Linked DNA regions of Rattus norvegicus. The protein of the gene in region 2 purifies or fractionates together with the protein of the main gene of each other region. This does not show direct contact. Links are inferred from orthologs where the notes say so. Each region holds a gene or a part of one and is shown on either strand. Other genes may lie near its edges. The genes, in order: Sdhb and Sdhaf1.

Region 1 (8,885 bases), on a different chromosome or scaffold from region 2:
GTGTCTGAAGACAGCTACAGTGTACTCATATACATAAAATAAATAAATATATCTTTAAAAAATATTTTTTAACCCCAACATGACAGCTGGGGTGGTGGTGTATCCCTTTAATCCCAGCACTTGGAGGGCAGGTGGATCTCTGACTTTGAGGCCAGCCTGGTCTACAGAGTGAGTTCCAGGACAGCCAGGGCTACACAGAGAAATCTGTCTCCAAAAAAACCGAACCAAACCAAAAACCCAATATGGTAACATTTTTAAAACAGGCACAGATCTGCGGATGATGCCACAGGGCTGTTCCAACACTTGGGAGGTGAAGGCAGGATCATGCAGTTGAGGCCAGAAAAGGCAGAGACTATGCTTTTAAAAAGAAAGCAGGGGTTGAGGATTTAGCTCAGTGGTAGAGTGCTTGCCTAGCAAGTGCAAGGCCCTGGGTTTGGTCCTCAGCTCCGGGAAAAAAAAAAAAGAAAAAAAAAAAAAAGAAAGAAAAAAGAAATTTGTTTAAAAAGAAAGCACTCCTCCCAAACCCAGTGAAAACTCATGATGAAGACTATCTGAGCACCAATTAGGGAACAAACAAGTTCTGCTCTGTTCTGCTGCATCTCAGCAACACAAAATCTCTGTCATGTGAGTCAGACAGCCAGGAACAATAACCCTGAGATGATGACCCTGAACCTGGACCTTCCTGCCTCTGCTCCCCCGTGCTACGTCAGCAGGGACGCCCCACAATGCCTGGTTTATGCGGGTACCGGGACGATACAAACATGCATCCTACGCCCTCTTCTGGACTCTTGAGATAATTTTAGATCACATATATCTGTAATAGTATTGAGATTCTTCCTGGATGAAAACATCTTACTATGCAGTTCAGGCTGGCCTTGAACATGCGGCAAATCTCTGATTTCTGCTCCTGAGTACCAAGACAATACTACATACCCAATTATGGCCCCATAGTATGGAAGACCAATTCAGCAGTACCCTCTGAGGGCAGGAAGAGCTCAGTTGACTCCTAGGCCTGCTGAAATGACAGGTTACCTGCAAAGGAGCTTCATCGTCTTTCTCCTATTTAAACATTTGTTTCTATAGAGACATTTGATCAGGCACACTTTTCAAAAGGGACTAGGGTCAGATTGAAATCAATCAAGGATATTTATTTACTTTGAGATGAGGCTCACATAGCCCAGGCTGGCCTCAAATTTATTATGTAGCCAAGAATTACCTTAAACAGCCAATTCTGCATCCACCTTCCATGGCTAGGAATCAGCTAGTCCTGTTGTTTTGAGACAAGGTCTTATATCCAGCCCTGGCTATCCTGGAACTTGCTAGTAGAGCAGACTGGCATCAAACTTACAGAGGTCTGATTACATGGCCTTATGAGTGCTGGAATTAAAGGTGTATACCACCACACCAGCCTATTTTTATTCTCGTGTATGCCGTGTGTGTGTGTGTGTGTGTGTGTGTGTGTGTGTGTGTGTGTGTGTCTGAGTATATGCCATGTGTGCAGGTGCCTGAGGTAGCCAGAAGATGGCACTGGATCTGCCAAAGTTGCAATTACAGCTGGCTGTGAGTGACGGGACATGGGAGCTGGGAACTGAACTCAGCAAGTGTTCTTGAGAGCTGAGCCATCTCTCCAAGCCTAGATTTGTGATTTTCAGAAAGATGGCAGGAATCACAGCATGCTTGTGTACCTTGCATAACCATGAGGGCAGAGAACAGCTATGAATCGGTGAGGGGACAATTAGCAGAGGGCCTTGGTGAACAAATGAGGAAAGACAGGATGGACATCAGGACACGTGGTATGCTGGCCCAAGGAGTCCTGTTAGCCTGCCCTGAACCCTGGTATTAGGAAGGAGAATGAGCAACCTCCTCTTGAGAAACCTGTGTACATTCATGGTCTTTCCCTCTCCCCTAATGTCTGTGCTTAAATCTATATTAAAACTTTTTTTTAAACAAAAATGCATTTGGATTGTGTGCATGGTGTCGGTGGCGAGGATGTGCTCATGTGGAGGGCAGAGGAACACTCTGAAGTAGGTTCCCTCCTTCTGCCTTCATGTGGGTTCTAGGGACAGGGCTCTGGTCATTAGATCTGACCAACACGCCTTTTCAGCCACCAAGCCATCTCCTCGGCTCTCAGAGCTTTTCCTAATAAACCCTTTGCTTTTAAAAAAAGGCCGCTCAGACAGGGAGATGGGCTGTAGTGTGAGACTTCCTTCCTCTCTCTCCCTCCCTGTCCAGCAACTTATATGCCAGGTTCCCCATGGGAGTGGAGACTGTGAACACATCTGGCCCTCGATCTATGACTCCAGTGACTGTGCCACGAAGGAAGAACGTCTCTAGATAATCCTGGAGAAGATGAACTTCCTCTATCTTCCGCAGGGGCAGGCCTGAAGCTAGACATATGACACGGCCACCAGGAAGGAAGGTGGGCAAAGGTAAGAAGGCAAAGCCAACCCTACAGACTCAAGGAAGGGGCAGGCTTGTATCTGAAGTGTGTTAGTGGGATCCAGCCCTGTTACCTTCAAGCTGCGAGTTCTTTAGAGAATCTCTTAACCAGTCTGATCCCACTTCCTCCAGTCTAATCTCACTTCCCCCTTTGCGAAGGGGAGGGTGGTATGGATACCCACTTCACAAGGAGCAGGCCAAACTACTGGCACAGCTCAGGAAATGATCTGTTCCCATGAGTTCACAGCAATCACAGGAGACTTGGAACCAGAACGGAAAGTCCACAGCAAGCTCAGGACGGGGCTTTTTGAGCACAAATATACCTTCCCACAGGGAGGAGGCCTCTCTTACTCTCACTACCCTAGAAAGGTGGGTAAGGGCCTCTCCTGAAATCCTAATGCTGACCTTTGAAACCAGTCTCTTCTTCACTTCGTTCTAGAATGCCCCGCCTGAGCCTGAGAACTCACTCCTTACAGTGAGGCTCTCATAACCTCACTGCTGCCTCTGCAATGTAGAAAGAGGACAGTAAACAAGGTCACCCGGAATTATTAACTGGATAACCTATCAGGAGGCTCCTCCCTCAAGAAAACTGATACACCCCCTTTGTGCGGTCACTGATTGCTGTAGCTTTTAAATTAGGGGTGGGGCCTGGTGAAATTTCTCCCATTCATGCTTGCATGAACTGGTGTCATTAGGATCCCATGTTCTCAGCCCTAAACACTTTATGCATAAGGAACACTAAATGCACTTAAAGAGATTGTGTACGTATATATTTAGCCATGCTAATTAAAGAAGTCATGAGTTTGAAAGGGAGGGAGCATGGGAGGAGAGAGGGGATTGGAAAAAATTTAAATACAGTAGTCATGCATGAAATTCTCAACAACCAAAACAGGATCATTAACTGAATACTTGGGACATCAGCCTGAGGCTCTGGTAGGCACTGTCTGTTTTTGTTGTTGAGACAGGGTCCCAAGTAGCCCAGGTTGGCCTTGCACTCCATATGGGGCTGAGGATGTCCTTACACTCCTGATCTCGCTGCCTCAGCCTCCCGAGTGCTGCTATGATAGGTGTGTATGCAGAGATGCACAGGTCCACACCTTTCATCTCAGCATTTACTCCCATGTGCTGAAGGAGGAGGATCTCTGAGTTCCAGGACAGCCAGGGTTGCATAAAGACACTGTCCAAAAAGCCAAAACCTAAGCAAAACAATAACACTGTCACAGGCTGGAGATTTGTCCTAGCAGTTTGGAAGGAGCAGAGTTCAGTTCTCTGCACTCGCATGGCGGCTGATAACCACCTGTAACTCCAGTTCCAGGAAATACGGCTCCCTCTTCTCCACAGGCACACGCATGGTGCCTATACATAACTCCTACGTACAAATGGAAACATCTAAACAAAACAAAACAAAACAAAAAACAACCCACAAAAGAACCTGCCCACGATCTACAGTTTACAAGAAAGGGGGGGGGGGCGCTCAGGTTTTAAGTCACTAAGAAAGTCTCTCTCGGAGTTCCTGTTGTCCACCTGTGAAGGACTGTCCAGGAGCCCAGAAGAGGACTGAATGGTATTTGTAAATCTTTAAGGAGAGGCAGTTTCTCTCGCCTTTCTAAGTGCTTCCACTGTGTACAGCTCCCGAGGATAGGGCGTGTGGGGAGACCTATGACAGAGCCACTACAGTAGTATTAACAAAAGCAGCTCCAGGCTCTGTCTGTCATCCCATGCCATCCGTATGAGATCAGTGCCGCTACACACCCTTGAATAAACACACTTCAGGGAACCGGGTCTTGCTTGCAAACTTCTACAGTCCGCATCTTTCAGGGGTTGGGTCGTTTTCTTCTATGTCTTCCTTTCCCTGCGGGTCAAGTGCATTGTCCTCCAGAGTTCAGCGGTCTCCGACATTACCGATGCAGAACAGCCTAATCTGGAGTTGCGACCTGGTCTCCCGGGACCCGTCCCAGACAACCCGCAGGCCTCCCTTTTACACAAGGTTGGTCGAGTGCAAATATCAGGATTTGATTCTGGGTTCCAACAACAGGTCGCCCATCATATGACCTTGACCAATTCGCTTGTCCTCCCTGACCTCTGCCTTTCCGTTATCTTTTCCAACCTCCTCCCGGCCGCGACTCTCCAGCTTGGGAGAAGCGCGGGTTGGCTATCTGAAAGGATGCTCAGGGGCAGGGAGCTGGTAAGTCCTCTCCTGAGGCCTGGACCCGGGCTCTTTCCGCTTCTCCGCGGACTCTCCACCCAGGCAGCCTCGGTGACCGGCACGGTTCCCCACTGAACTACGGCTCCGGGGCTCACCTGCAGGCCGACTCTGCCGAGAGCCGTAGCCGAAAAGCCGCGCTTCAAGGAGACCCCGACCACCGCCGCCATTTTGGCTCCTGACGTCAGCCCCACCCCTTACCCTCCGGCATCCCGTCGAACACCGCGGTGGGAAGCCGGCCTCTCCCCTTGAGGTCCGCTAGCAGCCTAAGAGCCAACGAGTGGAAGGCAGCTTCCGGTATCCCGAGTAAACGGACAGGAAGTGCGAGTGTGCCGTAGCGGCCAGTAGGGCGCATGCCCACTGGGCTTCCTATGTTCCTAAGGTGACCTCTGGAGTCGGAGCAGCGGGAAAGAGGGAAGGTAGCCTGGAGGGGTGGGGCAAAGGCCAGGAGGGGCGGGTCTTTCCTAGTTTGCTGAAGGCTGTGATTTTAATCCCTCTCTACTTGCAGTCGTGTCTGTCAATCACCTGTGACTCTTGTCTGATCAGTTTTGTGCTAGAGGACCCGTCAGTCCCTCTCTGAGCGAGACAGTTGGCGAGCGATTGAGGCGGTCACAAAAATGAATGTCAAAGGTGTCGCTCATTCATTTATTCATAAATATGTACGTAAGTTGCATGCCTGGAATCCCAGAAATTGGCATGTGGAGGCAGTAGGAGAATCAAGCTCATCCTTGGCTACTTAGTGAGGTGGAGGCTATCTGGGATACTTGAGGCTCTGTCTTAAAACACACAAAAACAAAACCAAAGCAATCAAAAAGGGCACCTGCTGTGTGGCTGGCGCCAGGCTCTGGGGTGCTGTGGTAAGTGAGTTAATGGCTCACATAATTCCTTTCTAACCTTGAGGAAGATGACAATAGGACAGAGGAGTAATGCAGCTTAGGCTGGACACCAAGGAGACAGAGGCTGTCCACTGTCTTGAACTTCAGATCTTCCCGTAGGTAAAGAACTGCCGAGAGCTGGGATTATAGCTGTGTGTCACCACGCCTGGTAGTACGTGCTGGACAACAAGCACTCTACCAACCCAGCTGTGTCCTCAGATTTTGCTTTGTCAGTTTTCTTAGTCACCTGAGCTGCTTAAAGAAGAAAAAAGGGGTTGGGGATTTAGCTCAGTGGTAGAGCGCTTGCCTAGGAAGCACAAGGCCCTGGGTTTGGTCCCCAGCTCCGAAAAAAAGAACCAAAAAAAAAAAAAAAAAAAAAAAAAGAAAAAAAAAGAAGAAGAAAAAAAGTCTTGTTCATTATATGAATATACTGTAGCTGCCTTCAGACACATCAGAACAGGGCCTGTTATAGATGGTTATGAGACACCATGTTGTTGCTGGGAACTGAACTCAGGACCTCTGGAAGAACAGTCAGTTCTCTTAACCAATGAGCCATCTCTCCAGTCCACCTGAGCTGCTTTTTTCTGGCACTTTTAATGGGTTCTCTCAGAGCCCTTCTGACTGGGGATTTGACCACTTTGGGCAGGTGTGATCTTGCTATCCCAAGTCACTTGATCTCTTGAGGTACCCAGTGACTTTGCTGGTCCCAATTACCAGAGGAATGAGTTTATTACTTTCCGCTCACCTTTGGCAGAGGGAGGGCACTGTTTATAGTCTTGGGTTTCCTCACTCCCATCATTTAGAAGCCACTGGAGAAATTACCATGACAGGAGGAATGGTTAGATGAGGCCAAGTTTCTGAGAACTCACCCTGATTCTGATTTCCCTGCCAGGTGGCCTCATTAAAAAGGGTGTGGGGAGTCCTGAACCCTTGGGGTTACCTAGATTGCTCCCCTCAAGGCCATGTGACCTTTGACAACTCTTTCATCACTTCTGACTTATGGTGTCCTTGCCTGAATCAGTAGGAGTTGTGCCAGCTGATTATGATTAGCATGGTTGTCTTGTGCAACAGATGGCAAGGTTACCTTGGCTTCTTAGGGGGCCTGGCTCAGGGCTGGGATAGTTTCTTCTAGGCTACCCAAGGGACCATTGGGGCCACCCAAGTGGGCCAAGGTTGTAGGAAGACTGTCATTTCTTTGTAACTCCTCCAGGCAGTATTTCTAGAGAACTGGTCTCTTTAGCCATTTTTTTAGCCACCATGTCAAAGGCAGACACCACCCCTACGCGAATGGCCACCCTTTTTTTTCCAGGTCACCTTGGAAAAAGCAGTCAGCAGCCAGCAAAAGTGAGACTTTGATTTACAGAGGGGCTCCTGGTGCCAGTAGGCCCACACACCCTGCCGTCACATCATTCCTGGGCTTCATGGGGATTTGGGAAGCTCAACGTTATGGAAGGATAATAAATTCCTGGGCTGCTCTACCTCCGCCCTAAGCTTTGGGGTGCCAGAAAGGCACAGAGGCCATAGGATTTAAAGGTCTGCATGGCCTCTTCTGGACTTAGATTGCCAAGGTGTCCGTGCCGTGAGACCGCAGGGTTGGGGTTGGTTTGTTGCCATCTGTGTAGACAGTGATCTATTGCTTTCATCAGACATGCCACTGGGCGCCCTGCGTTTATGGAGAGCCTCACCTCATCGTCCACAAATGTGTTGGCATCAACAGTCTCCCCTGGTCCTCCCAACAACCCTGATGGGTCGGAATAACTGTCCCCACTTGCAGACAGTCTTTGAGAACTGGGAAATCTGGGCAACCAGGGTGGGAATCCTGCTCGAGGAACTTTCTACTCCCCCAGGCCTAGGCACAGAGTCTGGGAGCAAAGACCAATACCAAGCTGGGCCCGACAGCTCAGATTGCCTTGGAAATACCCAACAGAGTTGTTAGTTACAGCGCAACCTCTGCGGTATAGTGAGAACCCCTCTCCCAGTCCTCCAAAGAGAAAACGGGGGGCCAAGAGGCGGTGGTGGCAGCACACTTTCAATCCCAGAACTTGGGAGGCAGAGGCAGGTGGATCTCAGATTTGAGGCTAGCCTGGTCTAAAGAGTGAGTTCCAGGGCAGCTAGGGTTATACAGAGAAACTCAGTCTTGAAAAGCCAAAAAAAAGTGTGTGTGTGTGTGTGTGTGTGTGTGTGTGTGTGTGTGTGATCCCAGATACAGATATATTCTCTCTCTCTCTCTCCCCACCTCTCTCTAAGGTTCTAATTCCCCTTGGAAGTAGAGCAGGCTTGTCCCACCAGCAGCCTGAGATGTTCATATTTCTACTCCTACCACCACCACTACCATCCATCAAAGTCCATGGCCACTCTAGCCTCCACTTAAATCTGTCCATCTTCTTCTCTGTCCACCCTCTTCTCTGTCCACCCCTCTTCTCTGTGCAGTTCCATAACTTGGACCTGCAATGTCCTAGCTTCCTATACCTATTTATCTATTGACAAGGGCTCTTCATGTAGCCCAGGCTGGCCCAGAATTCTTAATCCTCCCACGTGCTGGGGTTGTAGGTGTGGGCCACCTACCCGCTTTTTCCTCCTCTACAGCCCTTTGCAAAAATTCAGATCCAACTTTCTCCCTTTCTAGAAAACAACCACTCTCAACAAAATATCCTCTGCTCGGGTCATCAGTACAACTTAGACTTGGTTTGAGGATATCCTGCTTTCCTGTCTTTAGGCCCAACTGGGGACATTTCAATAGAGCGGGGCATCCTCACTGAATTTATTGTTGTCTGCAAATCTGTTTTGAATTCATTCTTTCTATCTGTTTGGTTTTGTTGGGGGTGGGGGTGGTTTTCTGAATTCTTCACAGCTGTGTTGATTGCAGGGAACTTCTGGGCCAAGGTGAAGATTTGTCTCTTGTTCAGGGTCATATCCAGAGCCTGCTCAGGGGCCTGCAGCACAGCAGGTGGCTAAGAAACACTCAGCAGGCGAACAAAGTGCCTGGCTTAGGATGCAGCACACAGTAGGTACACAGTCAGGTGGGTCAGCCGGATGGAGGGATGGGGAGTAAGGAAGGTGAGCTGGTTTCTTGTCGCAGCGAGAGGAGAGATTGGGGGGGGGGGTTTGGAGCCGTGTAGAGACTCAGGCGGGCACCGTGGTGACTACTCGAGGACCAGGACAAAGAGTGTTTTTAAAGCTCATATCGAAGGGGCTGGAGAGACCACTCAGCAGTTCCCAGCACTTACCTGGTGGCTCACAACAATCTATAATTCCAAGTCTAGGGGGCCTGATGCCTCCTCCTGATCTCCCAGGGAAGCAGGCACACATGCAGGACATATATATATATATATATATATATATATATATATATATATATATATATATGC
Region 2 (7,311 bases):
ATCTGCGCTGGTGTACCCATCTGCGCTGGTGTACCCATCTGCGCTGGTGTACCCATCTGCGCTGGTGTACCCATCCGCAGTGGTGTACCCATCTGCGCTGGTGTACCCATCTGCGCTGGTGTACCCATCTGCGCTGGTGTACCCATCTGCGCTGGTGTACCCATCTGCGCTGGTGTACCCATCTGCGCTGGTGTACCCACCTGCGCTGGTGTACCCATCTGTGCTGATGTACCCACCTGTGCTGGTGTACCCACCTGTGCTGGTGTACCCATCTGTGCTGGTGTACCCACCTGTGCTGGTGTACCCACCTGTGCTGGTGTACCCACCTGTGCTGGTGTACCCACCTGTGCTGGTGTACCCATCTGCGCTGGTGTACCCATCTGTGCTGGTGTACCCACCTGTGCTGGTGTACCCATCTGTGCTGGTGTACCCATCTGTGCTGGTGTACCCATCTGTGCTGGTGTACGCATCTGTGCTGGTGTACCCATCTGTGCTGGTGTACCCATCTGTGCTGGTGTACACTTCGCTTTGCCCCTTCAGAATCTTTGTGCTGTTCAGTTTTGAGGCAGAGTCTTGCTATGTATCTAGGCTGGAATAACAGGTACAGCACCATAAACTAGTTTTACTCAATGTCGGGGATCAAACCCAGGGTTTCATACATCTCCAGCCCTGTAGAGCATAAATCACAGAAAACAAATAATTAAACATTAAAGTATGCAGAGTTGTGCCTGGCATAAAGTAAGTGTTCAGTAAACAACTTAGATAGAAAAAATAATAAAACAGGGTTTGAGGGTTTTGGGTTTTTGTTTTGTTTTGTTTTTCAAGACAGGGTTTCCCTGGCTGACCTTGAACTTATTCTGTAGACCAGGCTAGCCTTGAACTCAGAGATCTGCCTGCCTCTGCCTCCCAGGTGCTGGGATTAAAGGTGTGCACCACCAGGTAAAACAGGTTATGGCCTCAGCAAGACCACATTAAGACATAGATAAGAGAGATGAGACAGATCACTGAGTACAGACACACACACACACACACACACACACACATACACACACACCACCACCACCAAGGCTTCTTATAGGAACATATATAAAATGTAATAAGGACTGTGGCCCAGTTGTTAGCATAACTTTTAGGCTCAGCACCAGTTACTGGGCAACAGCCAGGTATGCCTGACTGGTTATAAAAGGGGCTGCTTGCCCCCTCCTCACTCTCTTCTCTTGCTCTCTTCCTCTCTTTCCCCTCTGCCTCTTCTATCCCCATTCCCCTCCCTACCCCCCTCCCCACCCCACCCACCCCCACATGCTCTTGTGGCTGGTACCTCAGGGGGAAGTGATCCCTCAGCATGGGCCCACAAAGGCACTCCTTTACCCCTTCCCCCACCATACCGCACCTCCACCAAACATATACGTGGCTTCTTTTATAAAACAGAACACCAGCGACTTAGCTCACCTACACAAGGAGAGACATAGAAGTGCACTGGGCAGAGGACTTTGATCCCTCATTCCTTGTCCTAAGAAACTCAAGGTGGGCAGGGTCCATTACCCTCCCACCCCCACTCCCAGTCCCCACCCCGAATGTAATTAGAATGACACTTCACAGCCTAGAGGACTGATACCCTGGGGAGGCTTGAAGACTGCCAGTCTAGGCCAAGAGTTCGTAAGGACTTTCCCATGGTTGCAACATGGCAAGGCCCTGCACCTTTCACAAAGGGAGGAAACTGGAGAGATGGCTCAGCAGTTAGGAGGACTTGCTGTCCTTCCAGAGGACCTGAGTTCAAGTCTCAGTATTGGGTAATAATAGTCTCAGGTCATTAGAATTGAATCAGGCTGTGTGGGGCAATAGCCCTGCGCTGGCCCCAACGGAAGTCGAACAGTCTGTGTGGGGAGTGAGGACGAGTCTGGGAGAGAGAGAAAGAGGATGCAAAGACAAGAGATAGATTTGGGAGGACTGCCAGCCGATACTGCAGCAGCCTCCAGTTTCTTTTTTATAGCCTTTTTATACCTCGCAGTACTGTGGGAAGCAAAGCCACAAGCTAATAGAAACAACTGCTGAAATATACACAGGACATCTGTTCCCATCCAAAGGCCTCCATGTTCCTTCCACCAAGGTCAACAGAATCTTCAGCCCTGAGCCTTGAGCTCCAAGTGTACGTCCTCTTATCATCCCATACCTCAGCAGGCCAGGAAATCTGCCAACAGACCCTGACCCACCCTGACTCTGCTTGGCAGGCCGACTTCTCTTTCTCTCCCTCCCTCCCTCCCTCCTTCCCTCGATCTTCTCCCTTCCTCTCTTCCTCCTCCTCCTCCTCCTCTTCTTCTTCCCCTCCCTCCCCACTCCACCTCTCTTTGCTTCAGAGAAGCAGGCAAAGGGCTCCTGACACAGCCTTTAGCCATAAAAGATGGCTCAGCCCCAGTCTTCTGTTCCAACTGCAGAAACAATATGCCTGGGTATTGAAAAACAACCCACTCTGCTCTCAGCCAAATTACAAAAGATCCCTGTAAGTTCCTCGTGGCTACCTATATATGTGTGTGCACATAAACATGTCCCCCATCGCCATTAAATGCACCCAACCTTCATCCCACAGAAATGTTTCAATGAAGCTATCGCAGCCTACTGAAATGGAGTCGGTCCACCGCTGCCTTGTTTCTCCTACACTCAGCACCCATTAGATTCACAATGGGTGAAGCCTGTAGACTTCATGGGCTCTGACCCTCTCCTCTGGCCTGTCCAATGTGTTCACATACATACATGCTGGAGAGAGGGCTGAGTGGTTGAGAGCACTGACTGCTCTTCCAGAGGACCTGGGTTCATTCCAAGCACCCATACCATGTTGGCTCACTACAAGCTGTAACTCCATCTCTCTCTCTCTCTGTCCTTCTCTCTCTCTCTCTCTCTCTCTCTCTCTCTCTCTCTCCCCCTCTCTCTCCCCATTCCCTCTCCTCTCCCCTTCTTTCTCTTCTATTTAGTGAAGGGGGTAGAATGGAGGGCAGGGATAAAGGGTGGGATAAAGAAAAACCCATGGGGCTGGGGATTTAGCTCAGTGGTAGAGCGCTTACCTAGGAAGCGCAAGGCCCGGGGTTCCGTCCCCAGCTCCAAAAAAAAGAACCAAAAAAAAAAAAAAAAAAAAAAAAGAAAGAAAAAGAAAAACCCACAAAGTAACAGAGACTGGCTACATTTAAAAGCTGAACTTTCGGGGGTTGGGGATTTAGCTCAGTGGTAGAGCGCTTGCCTAGCAAGCATAAGGCCCTGGGTTCGGTCCCCAGCTCCGAAAAAAAGAAAAAAAGAAAAAAAAAAAAAAGAAAAAAGCTGAACTTTCTGTCAGCTCCAAGGGAAACTCCAATTCCCCCAATTCCAAAGGGCAGTCCAAATATCCAGAAATGAGCTCACCCTGGACTGCAGGAGGATTTCTGGTGGTGAAACAAAGCCAGCACAGCTCAGGAACTTGAGAAACTTGGCATCCTTTCCCTCACCTCTAGAAGGGATGTATAGCTACATGTGGGGCCTGTCAATAAAACAAAGAGCCTGCAGCCTTATCTCCTGCTATTTGTTAAGGGTTAAACCTGACAACGGTTCTGCCATATTGCCTCAACCTTCATTTTGTGGCTCATGACCTTAACCTGACCTAATGTTCCCTGACCATAACATCATGTTGTCGGTTAGAGCCTCCCTGGAGACCTCTGGGGATTTCCTAGCCTTCCTGCCTCTAGACCCAGCCAATGAGCTTAAAGGTCAGACAGTGCTGCTCTGTCAAGAGAGCCAAATGCATCTGTTCAGGGGTTTCCCCCATATAAAAACTGGCCCTGAGAACTGCCTGAGGTCTGCATGCCTGATTAATCAGTCTTGGAATGTGTGCTCAATAAACCGTCTCGATACCCTACTGACACTGGTGTCACCCAGTGATTTGTGTGGTTAATCCTGAACCCCAACACTATTTTCTCCTCTCTCACAGACAGCTCTGGCTATGTCCAATCTACTTCCTCTGTCTATTCTGGACTCTTCTAGATGTCTCTGGCTGTCCTCTCTCTCATATCTACAACAAACAATTCAACAAACAGCTTTCCCTTAACCATACCATGGAGTGGTCATGTCGTCAGTTTATGCACTTTCCAGCCCCCCAAACAGTAAAAATCTTTTTAAAAACTGCTTGTCTCTTCCCAATATCCCTATGCCCCCTGGTTATTCCCGGATTCGAACTCTTCGCTCCCAGTCCTCCCAGGACTCAGAACTATCTCCTCCTATTCTCTTCTAACATCTAACCGCTTAGGCTCTGCCCCCTGCTTCAACTCAAGTTCAGAAACAACCAGGACTGTAGGCCACTCAAAGACTACCCTTTAGGGTGAACCGGAGCACTAGAGACCCGGTCCACTTCCAGGGCCGCCACGACGTACTGCAGTACTAGCCAATCGGATGCGGCGGCACCGGTTAGCAGGAGGCGGGACTTCTGGCGGACGTGACTGTGGCCCTGCCCGTTAGCTTCTCAGCACTGTCTGTCGGGGCGGTCCTTCCGGTAGGGTCCGGGCGACTGACCGCGACGCAGCGGTCATGAGCCGGCTTAGCCGGCTGCAGAGGCAAGTTCTGAGCCTGTACCGCGAACTGCTGCGCGCCGGGCGCGGGAAGCCGGGCGCCGAGGCACGGGTGCGGGCCGAGTTCCGGCAGCACGCCAGCCTTCCGCGCTCCGACGTGCTGCGTATCGAGTATCTGTATCGCCGGGGACGGCGCCAGCTACAGCTGCTGCGTTCCGGCCACGCCACGGCCATGGGTACTTTCGTGCGCCCGCGGGGCCCTACTGAAGAACCCGTCGACGCGACAGCCCCGGGGAACAGGCTGGACGATAGTGATGCCCTAAAGAATCCTTGTGAAGGCACGGGAGCACGGGAAACGCGATCCGATGGACGGTGACAGACCCAGAGAAAGGTTCCTTTTGACAGTTTGGGAGGAAGATCGGGAACTCATCCAAATGGAAGCTGAGATGTCTTAAGAGACAACGGAATTTTCTCGATGCATGGTGAGAGGTCAGACACTCCCTCACCAAGGAGGTTCCGGGCATCCGGTGGCACCGGCTGGCTGAACAATGTATGCTGGGATTCACCAACCCAAAGTCAAAGAGAGCACAGACTCACGTTCTCCTCCCCTCGGGGCGTGACACCTCTCTTGACTTCTAAGAACACATACACCTCCCCACTCCCTGCCTTTTGCTGTTTTTAATGCCGAGAAAACGGCCTTTTTGCCGTGCATGTTTAATGGAACACCCTGATGAACCATGAGAAGCTTCGCGGTCCGGTTTGGAAAACCACTGCCCGACTTGTTGTGAAGAACCAGGATTGTAAGGGAGGTTACAGTAACTCACCCCAGCTGATGAGCCTGAGACTTCTGGAGAATCCCTAGCCCCTATTCTTGTCAGTCTTCCTCAGGATTCTTGTATAAAGGGAATAAATGTGAGGTGTGCTTTCTTCCTTGTTGTCTTAATAATCTTGTTGATTCTTTCATTAGGGGCCTTTGCTTTTTCTTTTGAGACAGGGTCTTGTTAGAATATAACCTCGGCTGCTCTCAGCGTCAGCTCCTTCTGCCTCAGCCTCTGAACTCCAAGATTATTGGCACGTACTGCCATGCCAAGGTTGGAGAGGCAGGCGGGAACAAAAGGGAGGAAAATGGAACCCCAGCTGAGGCTTGGTGTGTGACATAAAGAGCCTGTGACACTGTTTTCATATGGCTTTTATCTCACTTTGTTACATCACTCCCACCCTCCTGCCATAGGATGTTAGCTCTCTGCTCATCTCTCAGCTTCGGTTTTATTTAGCAAGGTGATCTTGGTTGGGTAGTTTTTGTTGTTTTTAAGACATGGACTCACTTAACCCAGGCCGGCCTCAATCTGGTCATGTAAGGGATAATGGCTTGCAACTCCTCCGTTCACCTCCAGATTACAGGCTCATTCTACCACAACACATGCTAATCTGTGTTTGCTCTGTTTATGGCCTTGTGCTTGCTGAGCAAGTGAGATAACCACTGGGATTCTCTTCCAACCCCAAGGTGACCCTGTTGATCTTGGTGCCATCTCAACTCCAGGTCTGAAAGTGACTACTGAAGTCCTACCCAACCTGTACCCTTGACATATCCCAGTCTCCTGTCTCATCTCCTGGCCCCAAGGGCCTGAGCTACATAGAGCAACCTTGTCTCTAAAAGGAAGGAAAGGGGGCCAGAGAGAAGGTTCAGTGGAAAAGGGAGCTTGGTGACAGGCCTGACTAGCTGAGTTTAAATCCCAGGGAACACACAGGAGATGAGAAAGAACTATGGCAATCTATGTCCATCTGCCTGTGTGCACACAGATATGTAGGTAGGTAGATAAGTGGGTAGGTAGAGATAGATGTATTTAGGAAGACAGACCATGATGACAGATTCCCTGATATACCCCTTAGCTACTGGTTTGCATTATCTTAATGTGGGCTTTCCTAGAAGCTACTGTTCCCCAGGCCTCTTCAGTACCCGATTTTGCATTTCCAGTAGCCATTCCATCTACTTTGAAGACACACTCCCTTCCCCATGGTTAGCCCCCATGATTCCAGCAGACCTGACTGGCCCCTCCTGAAGGCAGAACACACGGCCTAAACCAGTTGAGCCCTCCTGGGGACTCTTAAGTATGGAAGTTTAAAGGGAGAGCTATCCTGTTGACTATAAATTGATAGACACTCTAGCCACTAGGGAATGGACAAAGACAAAATGGGTGGGTGGGGTGGGAGGGCAGAAACAAAGACATCATTAGGATTTAGTTGTGCCAGAAGTCCTGAATGTCTGTTACCACACAAACTCCTGTTCCCATTAAGTCAGGGATCACTTGGCCTTAGTCACTCGCTCTTGGGTGGCCTCGGCCCTGACCTCTCTTGGCACCTGGCTACAGTGGGGCCTTGTGGCAATTCAAGGAGGCGTACATTCTTTCTGTGTGCAGCTTGGAGGCCAGCACAGGGAGGAGGAGCTGTGTTCAATGAGCATGGGCTAGCACCCGGCTCTGCTTTGTTCTTGTATTTGTGTTACCACCTCTTCCCTCACACCGTAGATTTGAGGAGATCAGGCTGCAACCCAGTGTGGACAATCCCAGGACTTCATACCAGAGCTGCGGATCAATGGTGGACCACTTGCCTGGCATGCTCCAGGCCCTGCCTGGGTTTCATTCCAAGCAACGCAGAACAGAAATATTAGCTAGGCCTGGTGACACACACCTGTAATCCCAGCCCCCTGGAGGTCGAGGCAGGAGGTTCAAAGTCAGCCTGAACTCTGAGTAAAACTACCAAGGGGAAAAATTATCCTATGAAGGAGAGT

The links.
Region 1: the proteins of Sdhaf1 (region 2) and Sdhb purify together in Homo sapiens (co-immunoprecipitation; 3 studies listed by BioGRID and IntAct, with this or other methods). This does not show direct contact. The link is inferred for Rattus norvegicus from reciprocal best matches to the Homo sapiens genes SDHAF1 and SDHB.

Annotation. Positions count from the first base shown.
Region 1 is NC_086023.1:158,543,881-158,552,765, reverse strand, and holds the start of Sdhb (succinate dehydrogenase [ubiquinone] iron-sulfur subunit, mitochondrial precursor), read right to left. Parts: upstream 4,833-8,885; 5' UTR 4,813-4,832; coding exon 4,741-4,812; intron 1-4,740. UniProt on the Homo sapiens protein: Iron-sulfur protein (IP) subunit of the succinate dehydrogenase complex (mitochondrial respiratory chain complex II), responsible for transferring electrons from succinate to ubiquinone (coenzyme Q).
Region 2 is NC_086019.1:94,701,817-94,709,127, reverse strand, and holds Sdhaf1 (succinate dehydrogenase assembly factor 1, mitochondrial), read left to right. Parts: upstream 1-4,516; 5' UTR 4,517-4,542; coding exon 4,543-4,899; 3' UTR 4,900-5,466; downstream 5,467-7,311.